Caenorhabditis elegans: one gene and its partner. The protein of the gene in region 1 interacts with the protein of each later gene in a pairwise test. Each region holds a gene or a part of one and is shown in the gene's direction. Other genes may lie near its edges. The genes, in order: rnp-7 and rev-1.

Region 1 (4,822 bases):
GGCGCACTACGATCAAGACGAGAGGAGACACTTGCAGGAACTTGGTCCGTTCTGGAATAATGCTTTAAATTTATATTACTCAGGAAAAATTTTTTTTACGTTTTGAACATAACAATATCTTGATATTGGTCAATTGGCATTCCACCATATTCGCTTCCATCATGGGCTTCATAGTGAATACTGTCATCTTCATCATTTGCAACCATTTCCTTAAATTTGAATAAAGAAAATTAATGATTCAAGCACACTCACTCTCATATCATTCATATCGTCATCCACTGCAATTTCCTCATATCCTTCGACTACCATGTTGTCGTCAACTATCTCAGTACTGTTCATTAACATCATCAGCTGAAATTTAAATTAAAATTTTAAGAAAAAACTCAAAGTGCCCAAAACAACAAGAACGAACAATTGGAATAATGTTGAGTACTTTTAAATGGTCTATTATAAATATTTTTGAATTAAAATATATTTTTAATATGTTTAAATTACCGCCAGAGTGAGCAGAAAAGGCCCGAAACGTCACATATTGACGCGTTCGGTGTGACGAGCGCAAGACTAGACGACCGCGACGCGACCGCTACGCAGCGGAGAGAAAAGAAAATTGTGCAAGTGCGCTGTGTTGAACTACTCGCCCAGATTAATTTTCGCAATTTTGACTCGATTCTCAGCATTTTCAACTAGAAAATAAAGTTTTTATTTCCATTTTTGAACTCCTTATCGATAGTACCATGCTTATTTCTAAGAAAGCCTTCTTTGTTTCGCAAAGCTGGATAGTATTAATATGTTTTGAACATGTAACTATCGGTTTAAAAAATATAGATTGTAAATGAATTCAAATCATATCGGTTCTTCTTTTTCTGATGTTCAAAATATTCTGTATTCCGTTTCAATGTAGCTTTTCTTCTCAACTTTCTGGATTTCTCTTCAACACTTTTTCCTAGATGTCTTCCGAATCACAATCGAGCAGCAGTGGGCCGTCGTCCAGTGGATCAAAAATGAAGGATTTCAATCAGAGGTTCCGTGATCTTCACAAACTCCGCCAAAGAGCGAGAAAAGAGAATCACGAACAGGTTAGTGTTTTAACGTTTACATTTTCAATTATAATTTAAAATTGTAGGTCGTTGAAGAAGATCGTCGCAGCAAACTTCCAAAAAACCACGAAGCAAAAAAGGAAAGAGATCAATGGCAGGTTAAAGAGCTACAAGATCGAAAAGCTGCAGAAGACAAGGGATTGGACTATGAACGTGTTCGCAGTTTAGAGATGTCTGCAGATGTTACTGAGAAGCTTGAGCAAAAAAGAAAGAGAAAGAAGAACCCAGATCAAGGATTTACTTCTTACGAAGATATGACTCTTCGTCAACATACTCGCCTGACTGCTGCTCTTGATCCAGATCTTGATTCTTACAAAAAGATGAGAGAATGCGTTGGAGGGGAACAGTTTTACCCAACTGCTGACACACTTATTCATGGTAAGGAGCAAAACTCATAATTTCAAAGAAAAACCAAAGAGTTTTCAGGAAATCACTATCCGACAACTGCTGCAATGGATAAGCTCACTAAAGATGTTCACGGCCAAGTTAAAAGACGAGAACAATATCATCGTCGTAGACTTTATGATCCTGACGCGCCAATTGATTACATCAATGAGAAAAACAAGAAATTCAATAAGAAACTGGACAAGTACTATGGAAAGTACACAGAAGATATCAAAGACGATTTGGAACGTGGAACAGCTATCTGAAACCGAGGATCGCTTTTTTATTTTCTTTTTCAGACATTTTTTCAACTTTTTTTCTTCTTTTGTTTTGTTCTTCATCTTCCCATTCCATACTATTTTCTCTCTTCTATTCGATAATCTTTGTACCTACAAAACTCAAATAATAAATAAAAATTATTTTCAGGTGACATGACGGCATTTCTACCTCCCAATCTTCTGGCGCTTTTCGAAGCACGACCACCAGTGCAATATCTTCCACCATGCCAGGACCTACTAGTGGACAAAAATGCTAAAAGGGCTCCGATGACTGGAGTTGCTCAATATATTCAATTATTTGAGGTTTGAACGTAACTTTATTATTTTGGAAGCTATTTTTTTTTCAGGATCCGAAAGATACTCCAGCAAAAATCCCAGTAGTAACAAAAGCTGAAGCAAAAGAAGAAAAAAGACGACAAAAAGATGAATTGTTAGCATATAAAGTAGAACAAGGAATCGCCACGTGGAATCCAGCTGAGAATCCAAGAGCTTCGGAGGATCCATATCGCACTCTATTCGTTGGACGAATTGCACGTTTTTTTAAATGTTAGAATGTGTTTTAGTTTATATTTTCAGAACTATGAAACGTCTGAAAGCAAGTTGAGACGAGAATTCGAAGCGTATGGTAAAATTAAAAAGGTAAGTGTCTCGTTTCTTCCAAGTTAAGCTTTCATTGTTTTTTCCAGTTAACAATGGTCCACGACGAGGCAGGAAAACCACGTGGTTACGCGTTTATCGAATACAGTGACAAGGCTGAGATGCATAGTGGGTTGCAGTTTGTTTGTCATAAAACAAAAAATCATTGGCTGAACCTTTTGCTCAAAAAAACAACAGAAATTTTATTTTAAAAACCAATTTTCAAGGAACACGCTCCTATTTTTGTAATTTTTACAGCCACGCGGCCATTGTGAAATCCTGGGAAATGAATGGGAATGGCAGAGCGCGCAACTCTCCTATCGATTAATTTCTGATAGGTTTGTTTGTTGGTGAGCTCAAATAAAAAACAAGAAATTAAAAAAAAAAGGAATTAGCATTTTAAGAAACGAGTCTTTCCAAGAAAAAAAACATTATTTAAAATTGCACGCTTGCTAAAAAGGTTTTAGGCATATTATCGCATTTAAAAACTTTATTAATTTGTTAAGCTGAAAATTTCTGATATAAACTCTTTTTTTAGTACTAGGTCTTTGAATTTCATTTAGGCTACTAGATTAGGAAAAAATCCAAGAATTCAGATTTATTTTTTTATTTTTTGAATGGGTAAGGTACACGCTTTGTAAGTTTTCCTCACAAACATCAAAAAAATCATCTTGGGATTATTTTTGTAAGTTTCTTGCCGCTTTTTGTAAGTTTTCCCGTAAGTTTTGTCTGTAAGTTTGAAGTCTAACACATTTTCTGAATCGCGGGTAAGTGGTTGGGTAAGTAGTCAATTCCGCGAATGACATGGAGGCCTGTGAGCGCTTTTTTGGTAGGTTAGGTAAGATATTTATTGAGTAGACACACAAATCCGTATTCTCTCACCTTATTCCTTATTGAACATAATATTCGAGTATTATTTTCAGCCGCTTACAAAAAAGCTGACGGAATCAAAGTTGATGGTAAACGTCTAGTTGTCGACTATGAAAGAGGTCGTACTCAGAAGACATGGTTGCCTAGAAGACTTGGCGGTGGAAAAGGAGATACTCGTAAAACTCGCGAAGCTAAATCAGTCATTGAAGAACGTGAAATTGCGTCTGGATTTGGAGGTGGGTACGAGGATCGAGATAGAGAAAGAAGTGGTAGTCGGGATAGACGTCAAGATTCTTACCGTAATGGTGGAGGAAATGATCGTGATCGACGAGAATCATCGGGCGGATTTAGAGATAATCGCGGTGGAGGTGGCGGATTCGGTGGAGGGTTAGTTTTTATAAGATTTCGACATCTTATTTGTATTTTTCTTCACTTGTTTTAATTAATATTTTCAGAGGCCGTGATCGTTTCAATGATCGAAGTGGTGGTGGTGGATACGGAGGTGATCGTGATAGAGGAGGTGATAGAGGAGGTGACCGTGGAGGAAGCCGATACAGTACAGGTGGAGGATCCGGTGGTGGATATCGAAGCGGTGGTGGAAGTAGCGGAGGTGGTGGTGGAGGTCGATATGGTGATCGCCGTTGATTCTGAAACCAAAGGCCTTGTGGATTTTCCTCGCTTTTATGTTTGTTTTGTATCCTTCGATCTGAAATTTACCGATTTTTCCTTCTGCTTTCTATCTCGTCCTCTCAAATCATTTTGTATTCCTAAACACTTTTTCAAACCTGAACGGTATCTTCTAATTTATATTTTTAAGTTATTGACTTTTTTCTGCTCAGAAGTTCAACTATTCGAGGGCAGATTCTAATAAAGCTTCAATTGCAATATTTTCTGTAGAATAATTTATTTCTAATGGTTTTCAAACCTATTCTAATATTTTATTTTGTTCATTTTCCAATTTAATCTTATTATCTTGTTCCTTGTTAAGACCATCATGCCGGGTTCCATGAGCAAATTGGGAGGGCTGGCAACCGGTTTGCTGGCCTGCTCCAGATCAGGAGCACTCTCAAATCAAGTCAGAGGAGTTGTTCATAAAAGTCTTCTAAGACTTCCATCTGAACATCCAGAACCATGGGACTATAAGCACAATGGATTCAATTATATTGATGGATTAAAAGACGACACTCGTTCTCATTTCCATCAAAATTCCAAGCTTATCGTTGTTGAAGGAAATATTGGATCCGGAAAGACAACTTTAGCCAAACAACTTGCTGATCAACTCGGCTTCGTTCATTTCCCAGAATTTAGAATGGACGATATTCTCGTCGATCGCTACGGAAATGATCTTCGCAATTATTATAATAAAGTAAATAATAATTCAACCTAACTCTTAAATGTAATATTATTCCAGTTCCCAGCTCGTTACCGTCTTCCAGACATTTCCATGTTCTATAAGAATCCAAGTGGTGAACTCTCAGCTGCCATGCAAGATCGCATTTTCAACTGCCGTTTCGATCAATATCTCAACGCACTTGCTCATATTCTCAATACCGGTCA
Region 2 (6,720 bases), on another chromosome or scaffold:
AAAGGATCATTCAATCTTACATCTGGAACAGTTATTGGCAGCAATGTTTCCGAGGATGCTCGTCTTGCTCATGCTCTTATGTGCTCTCATGGTTCTCTATTTGGGTGTGCTGGAAGAGTAGGAAAGATTCGACTAGTTGATGCAAGTGGAATTATCAACTCTGATGGATTCTACAACTATTTAACAGCATGGTTCAATGTCGATCACATGATGTACTATGTATCTCAAGCTTCTTTCTTCCCAACACCACCAAAATGGGAATTGAGCAAGAATCATACCGAAAACTTCATCCCAGCTGCTGAGCCACTTGCATATTCGCAGATTCCATTCTACTTAACTGGCCTCACGGATACCGCTGTGATTGTCGATGCCATAAAGGACATCAGAAGTGTTTGTGAACGATTTACCGATCAAGGACTTCCAAATTTCCCACAAGGAATCGCATTCACATTCTGGGAACAATATCTTTTCTTGACTGGAAATCTTATGCAAGCCATTTCGATCATTACCATCTCTGTCTTCTGCGTCATTTCCGTTCTTCTTTTCAATCCATGGGCTGCACTTATGGTTGTTTGTATTCTCGGAATCATGACTTGCGAACTTGCCGGATTCATGGGACTCGTTGGAATCAAGCTCAATCCGGTTTCAGCCGTAACTTTGATCACCGCAGTTGGAATTGGAGTCGAATTCACTGTTCATGTGGTTGTATCATTCCTGACGGCGCTCGGAACAAGATCTCAACGGACGTCATCTGCAGTTGATCGAGTTTTTGTCCCAGTCATTCATGGATCATTCTCCACACTTCTCGGTATTTTGATGCTTGGATTCTCAGAGTTTGAGTGAGTTTTACAGAAGTATGGATGTCATCAGAATGTTTTATTTTCAGATTTGTTGTCAAGTATTTCTTTATTGTCATGACGGCTCTGATTTGCATTGGAATCATAAACGGACTCATTCTTCTTCCAGTTTTATTATCTTGGTTTGGCCCAAGGAGAGAGGTAAAATCTAAATTTTGTTATTTTTCTTGTATACATCTTATTTTTTTTAGATCTCTCCTACTGGTGGAAAGACAACATTGACCCTGCCACCTCCTTTGCCAAAGAATGCCAACTCGTCTCGATCTGGCGGCGATGATTCTGATGAAGATGACGAGCCGAGTGGTCTTGTGATGTACTCAAGACAAGCACCCCCAACGACGAGGACATCAGGAGGAAATCGAGGAACAGTTGGAAATAACACACGCCGATTGCCAGCTGTATAGCAGTAGTAGTTCGCTCCAAGTTTTTGGAGCTTAAAAACTTACAAAAATGTAAAAATGGGTAAATTTCTTTCTGATGAATGCAGAGCATTGTGAACTTATCCTTTTTCCCAATGTTTCGTTGTCATATTTTCTTTTAAATTATTTTTGTCTTTTCTCTCTTTCTAACGGTCGACTACACACTTTCTGGTGATCTTCCCATGCCCTGTATAACACTTTTATAGTTATTATGTTGATTTTTTCACTGAGATTTCCAAGATATAGGCAATTAACATGATCACTATAAAATTGACACTTTCACACACTTCACCATTTCTAGCACCCAATTAACAAATTCAAAACTGAAAGAATAGATTTTGCGCGGTTTCCAAACGACAAATGCTTTAATCTGTTATAGTATTATTTTTCTTTATTTTCTTGCATCCATATCGATGAATATTTTGGCACCCTCGTTTTCTTTTTTCTTTGGGTATTTATTGCCACTTCTCAATCGAAAAAAACATGCGCATAATATTTACTCCGAGTGATAAAAGGGGAACGGTACAATTTAGAGAAAAAAGTACAATTGACATATCTGTATTGTTCACCTTTTTGTATTGCTTTCAATTGCACCCACTTGGTCTTTTTCGCCGTTTGTTTTGTTCCCCTCTGTGAATGATCTCAGCGAGCTTTGGGAATTTAATTATTTTATTAGCACCAGCCAAGATTTTTCTCTGCCCCTCTCGATTTCTATTGTCCCTTCGCCTCATCTCCAATTTTTTTGTTTCGAATTTTTTCGGATGAATAAACTTTTTCTAACATGAAACATACATTTTATCGATTCTTATTTTCAGAAAATTTTAGTATGAACTGTGAGAAATTATACTTGTCGACAGAATTACGGTTAAAGACGCAATTAATCAGAAAACAAATATTGATTCCAGAAATCAATACAATGAATGATGCATTCTCCTGACCCATTCACCGATCATCCAGATTCAGATGATTCTTTTGAAAAGTTTGTTCCGACTCCTAATGTGAATCGACGACGAAGTGATGCTATAATTGTTTCAGATGAGGTATTAGCTGCAAATATATCGAAAAGTTCGATGGAATGTCGAATAATTTCAATGAAATCGTTAAATTTAGTTTTCAAAAATATTAAATAGCTATTTTCAAAATACTTCTGCTTTCTTTAAGGGTTCATTCGACGGAATAACAGGATATTCCCAAGTAACAGTGATCGAAAATTGTCCGAATACTACTGTACTAGAAGATGAAAATAAACGCGCAAATCCTGATGATACAATAACTCGAATGCTAGAATCCAGTGACGAAGAGGATGAAACTGAAAATAATTCTGATAATGATGCACTTGCTGATCTTTTAAAATCGTTCAGAACGGAAGATCAGAAAAGAAAAGAAGTAGACATTGAACAGGCAGCAAATATCAGTATAGACATATTTGGTGATTTAATTGAAGAAGTTGACTCAGAACATGAAGCTGCTGAATATCCGGATAGAGAAGGTGGAAATAGCATGGATAAGCAAGGAACAATGCTACCGGTTGAAGTTCCTATTCAAAATAATATCAAACTTATACCAAGAAAGGTATGTAGAAATATTAAAACAATCGTTAATATTCTAGATTACAGCGTCGTCTAGAACCAAAATCATATGATTGTGAACCTTCAACATCCGCTGCACATGGCCCAGTTGGTGTTGTTTCATCAGATAGTGGCGAGTACTGGAATCAACAGAAAACCATCACCATACATGGACAAAATTTCGAAATAAATAATTTTGTGAGTTTTTTGCCCAAAACACCAAATCATTTACTATAAATAAAGTTTTTCGTTTTCACGTAAAATTAAAAGTTTCATTCCAAATGTGGACTTTTTTCGAGCATCGCTGTATATTCGAAATCCTAGAATATTTAAATAAAAACTATCGAAACCCAAATTAAATTATAAACTCGTAAAGACAATTTTCTGTCCGACTTCCAGTATGGCCTCTCAGTTTTCAAAACACGCTTGACTGTAAAGAAACAACTTTTTTGAAAAGTTTTACTATGACATTTGGACAGTTTAGCACTTAACTGATAATAACCCACAGGAAATAATCATTTTTTTCAGAATGACTATATGCGGATGAAGATCACTAAACTTAACCATCAGGTGAATCATGGATATGCGAAACCACTAGAGAATGTGTCTAGAATAATGGAAGGATTCTCGGTATTTGTGAATGGTTATACAGGTAATTTCATATTCCATAACTTAACGACTGATTTTACAGTTACTTATTTCAGATCCACCAGCACTTGTTATCAGAGATTTGATGATTTCTCACGGAGGTGAATATCACTGTTATTATCAACATGGAATTACTTCATACACGATAGCTTCCTCAATTGCTACAGCAAAAATAAATCGAATTCGAGAAAATGAAATTTTCATTAAAGCTGATTGGATTACGGAATCGTAAATATAATCAACCCGATTCTTCCGATTAAACCAGTATTTCAGAATAGCTGCTGGAAAACCACTCGATTATCGAGATTTTTTGATATACGAGAAAGGTTCGGTGGAAAAGGGACAAATGCAACAGTTTCTAACAATATCAACTAGAAACACCGGTGGTAACAATGAAACAACTTCATCGAATCAGTTCTCTGATGCCCGGAATCCAAACTTTATTCGAGATTACTATGCCAGAAGTCGTCTTCATTTGATTTCTACTCTCGCGCAGGATATGAAAGATTTTGTGGCAAATTTGAAACTGGAAGGAAAGCTAACGGAAAAGTGTTTTGAAGAGAAAGAACTCATCGATATGAAGTCTCTTAGCAATGAAATTTCTCGGGAAAGTACAGTATTCCACGTGGATCTAGACTGTTTCTTCGTCTCAGTTGCTGTCAGAAATCGAATTGATTTGAAACACAAAGAAGTTGCCATCACTCATAGCAAGGTAAATCAATTTAAAAGCTTCGTGTCAAACTATAAATCTTTCAGGGAACTATTTCGAATAGCATGAGCGAGGTGGCTTCTTGCAGTTATGCAGCTCGTGATTGTGGAGTCAAAAATGGTATGCTCGTGAGAGATGCTCTACAAAAGTGTCCACAATTAACTCTATTACCATATCAATTTGAGGATTATGTGCAAGTTAGTCGGAAAATTTATGAAATTCTGGCTAGCTACACATTGGAGGTTCGTGCAGTCTCCTGCGATGAAATGTATATAAACATGAGCAGTTTTTGTGAAAAATACGAAATCAACGACCCAACAATTCTCGCTGAACACATCCGTAAAGTGATACGAGAGAAGACTCAATGCCCAGCCAGTGTTGGAATAGGATCTACGAGCTTGTTAGCAAGACTTGCAACAAGACATGCTAAACCAGATGGAGTTTTTTGGGTTAATGCACATAAGAAAAATGAATTCATTTCCGAGGAAAAAGTTAAAGATCTACCAGGATTTGGATACGAAATGATGAATAGATTAACTTCATTCTTTGGTAATTCCAGTATCTAATATAAAAATATCAACTTCTCAGTTTTACAGGTGATATTACAAAATGCCGTGAACTACAATTAAAAACTGAACGGGAACTTGTACCTGTATTCGGACCAAAGTTGGCTTCAAAAATATTACGACAATGTCGTGGTATTGAAGAAGATCCAGATGATTTTTGGGCTACTCATGTTCGAAAATCAGTATCATGTGATATCAATTATGGTATTCGTTTCACGAAGGTAATGTATTATATTAAAATGTCCGTATAACGATGGAATATTTCAGAGAGGTGAAGTTATTCAACTCATGACAGCTATTGGAGCTGAGTTAGAACGGAAACTTATCGATAGTAAATTAACCGCAGGATCCATAACTTTGAAGCTTATGGTACGTTCAGCAAATGCTCCTATACAAACATCCAAATTCATGGGACATGGAATTTGTGATACATTTACCAAAACGTGTAATCTAAACGTTCCAACTACACGCGGAGAGTCTCTCACATCAGAAGCTATGAAATTATATGCTAAAGTTTCTCCGAAAGTAGAAGATCTTCGTGGAGTTGGAGTTACCTGTGGAAAGTTGAAAAGTAAATTGAAAAAAGATGCGGCAACGGCAGTGCAAGAGATGTTTGGGAAGACCTCTAGAGTTGGGAATATGGCGAGAACTGACGAACAATTGAGTTAGTATTTAAGTAGTGAAATTTTATTGAAAACATTCTGTATTTTCAGATATTATTCCGCGAAACGAAGATGAACTAGATAAAGAACCTGTGATAATTCCAGCTGTGACTGAAGATCTGGAAGTGCAAAGCATACCTCGTCAAATTAATTTTAGAGTGGCAAATGACATAGATATTCCTGAAATTGTAAAATCCACACTTCTCAATGGACGATCTGACAACAACCTCGAATTGGAAGATTTGGAAGATGATGGATTAGTTGAAAATCGTCTGGCCGAATTGGAATGTATTATTCAAAATGGTGAGATACCCAAAATCTGATGTTTCATGGAATAACTTTATCAATTTTTTCAGAGCCAACCAAGGAGAGTGTTACGAACTTACAGGAAATGCTTTCAACGTTGCTAAACTATGGAAAACTTTCCGCATTCGAGACTGTATTCAGAAAGTTTGAAGAGATTTCGATGGATTCTAGTAGATGCGACACTGCTTGGTTTTCAGTATTCCATTTGATGGTACCATTCATCGAAGAAGAATCAAAAGATCTGCTTGAATTTCCCATAGCTACCACTCGAAATTTGGGAGCTATGATTGCCAGCAACACTGATAACACATCAATTAGTTCACCAGAGCCATTTGTTCCAAAAGAAGTATTTGTAATTGATTCCACTAAACATACCTGAATTTAAATCTTGTAAAATATTGTTTTTCTTTTTCTGTAAAATAATTAAATTAAAATGAATAAATAACATATTTAAGACCATTGAATAAACTTTTATAATTCAAAAAGAGAAGGAATGAATGAGTGAAGACGTGAATATTAAACCAGTAAGAAGACGTCGAGATCAATACAGGAAAGAGCTTGTAATCAGTTTGAAATCCATTCTCAAAACTTTGGAATATTTCTAGGACCATTTGCCAAATTTTCCAGATCAGCGAATGAAAGTTTTGAAGTTGTTGAAACGGAAACGTCTCGTTCGTTTAGATGATCTGAAATTTAAAAAATAGTAACTTTCATATTTTTTTATGAAATTCCCACTTCCCGGAACTGCTTGCACTTGCATTGCGTCTACATTGAATTTTAATTTCCGAAGATGCTGTCGTTGTGGATGATTTGATAGTTTTGACGATGCACTTGTATGAAGTAACTGTAATAAAGTTATGCTATAGATTGAAAACTACAAATTTAAAACTCCATGGTTTTGGTAGATCATATTTTTAGATTGTTCCAAAATTTTAGATTTTCAGACTTACACGAATTTCATCATCCAAACTTTCAACATAAACAG

What was found.
Region 2: the proteins of rnp-7 (region 1) and rev-1 interact in a two-hybrid assay, tested with the Caenorhabditis elegans proteins (2 studies listed by BioGRID).

Annotation. Positions count from the first base shown.
Region 1 is NC_003281.10:7,158,241-7,163,062, reverse strand, and holds rnp-7 (U1 small nuclear ribonucleoprotein 70 kDa), read left to right. Parts: upstream 1-1,907; 5' UTR 1,908-1,912; coding exon 1,913-2,062; intron 2,063-2,106; coding exon 2,107-2,289; intron 2,290-2,335; coding exon 2,336-2,398; intron 2,399-2,445; coding exon 2,446-2,524; intron 2,525-3,318; coding exon 3,319-3,652; intron 3,653-3,720; coding exon 3,721-3,910; 3' UTR 3,911-4,151; downstream 4,152-4,822. Other genes in the region: K04G7.1 (Integrase zinc-binding domain-containing protein), read right to left, coding at 1-51, 100-209, 253-309; Pre-mRNA-splicing factor syf-2, read left to right, coding at 948-1,076, 1,124-1,475, 1,524-1,747; nuo-4 (NADH dehydrogenase [ubiquinone] 1 alpha subcomplex subunit 10, mitochondrial), read left to right, coding at 4,260-4,631, 4,677-4,822.
Region 2 is NC_003280.10:7,898,448-7,905,167, forward strand, and holds rev-1 (DNA repair protein REV1), read left to right. Parts: upstream 1-2,174; 5' UTR 2,175-2,199; coding exon 2,200-2,316; intron 2,317-2,437; coding exon 2,438-2,848; intron 2,849-2,892; coding exon 2,893-3,042; intron 3,043-3,372; coding exon 3,373-3,496; intron 3,497-3,548; coding exon 3,549-3,720; intron 3,721-3,765; coding exon 3,766-4,204; intron 4,205-4,248; coding exon 4,249-4,750; intron 4,751-4,797; coding exon 4,798-4,988; intron 4,989-5,034; coding exon 5,035-5,431; intron 5,432-5,480; coding exon 5,481-5,732; intron 5,733-5,785; coding exon 5,786-6,114; 3' UTR 6,115-6,220; downstream 6,221-6,720. Other genes in the region: ptc-1 (Protein patched homolog 1), read left to right, coding at 1-839, 887-998, 1,049-1,261; best-23 (Bestrophin homolog), read right to left, coding at 6,318-6,421, 6,471-6,579, 6,686-6,720.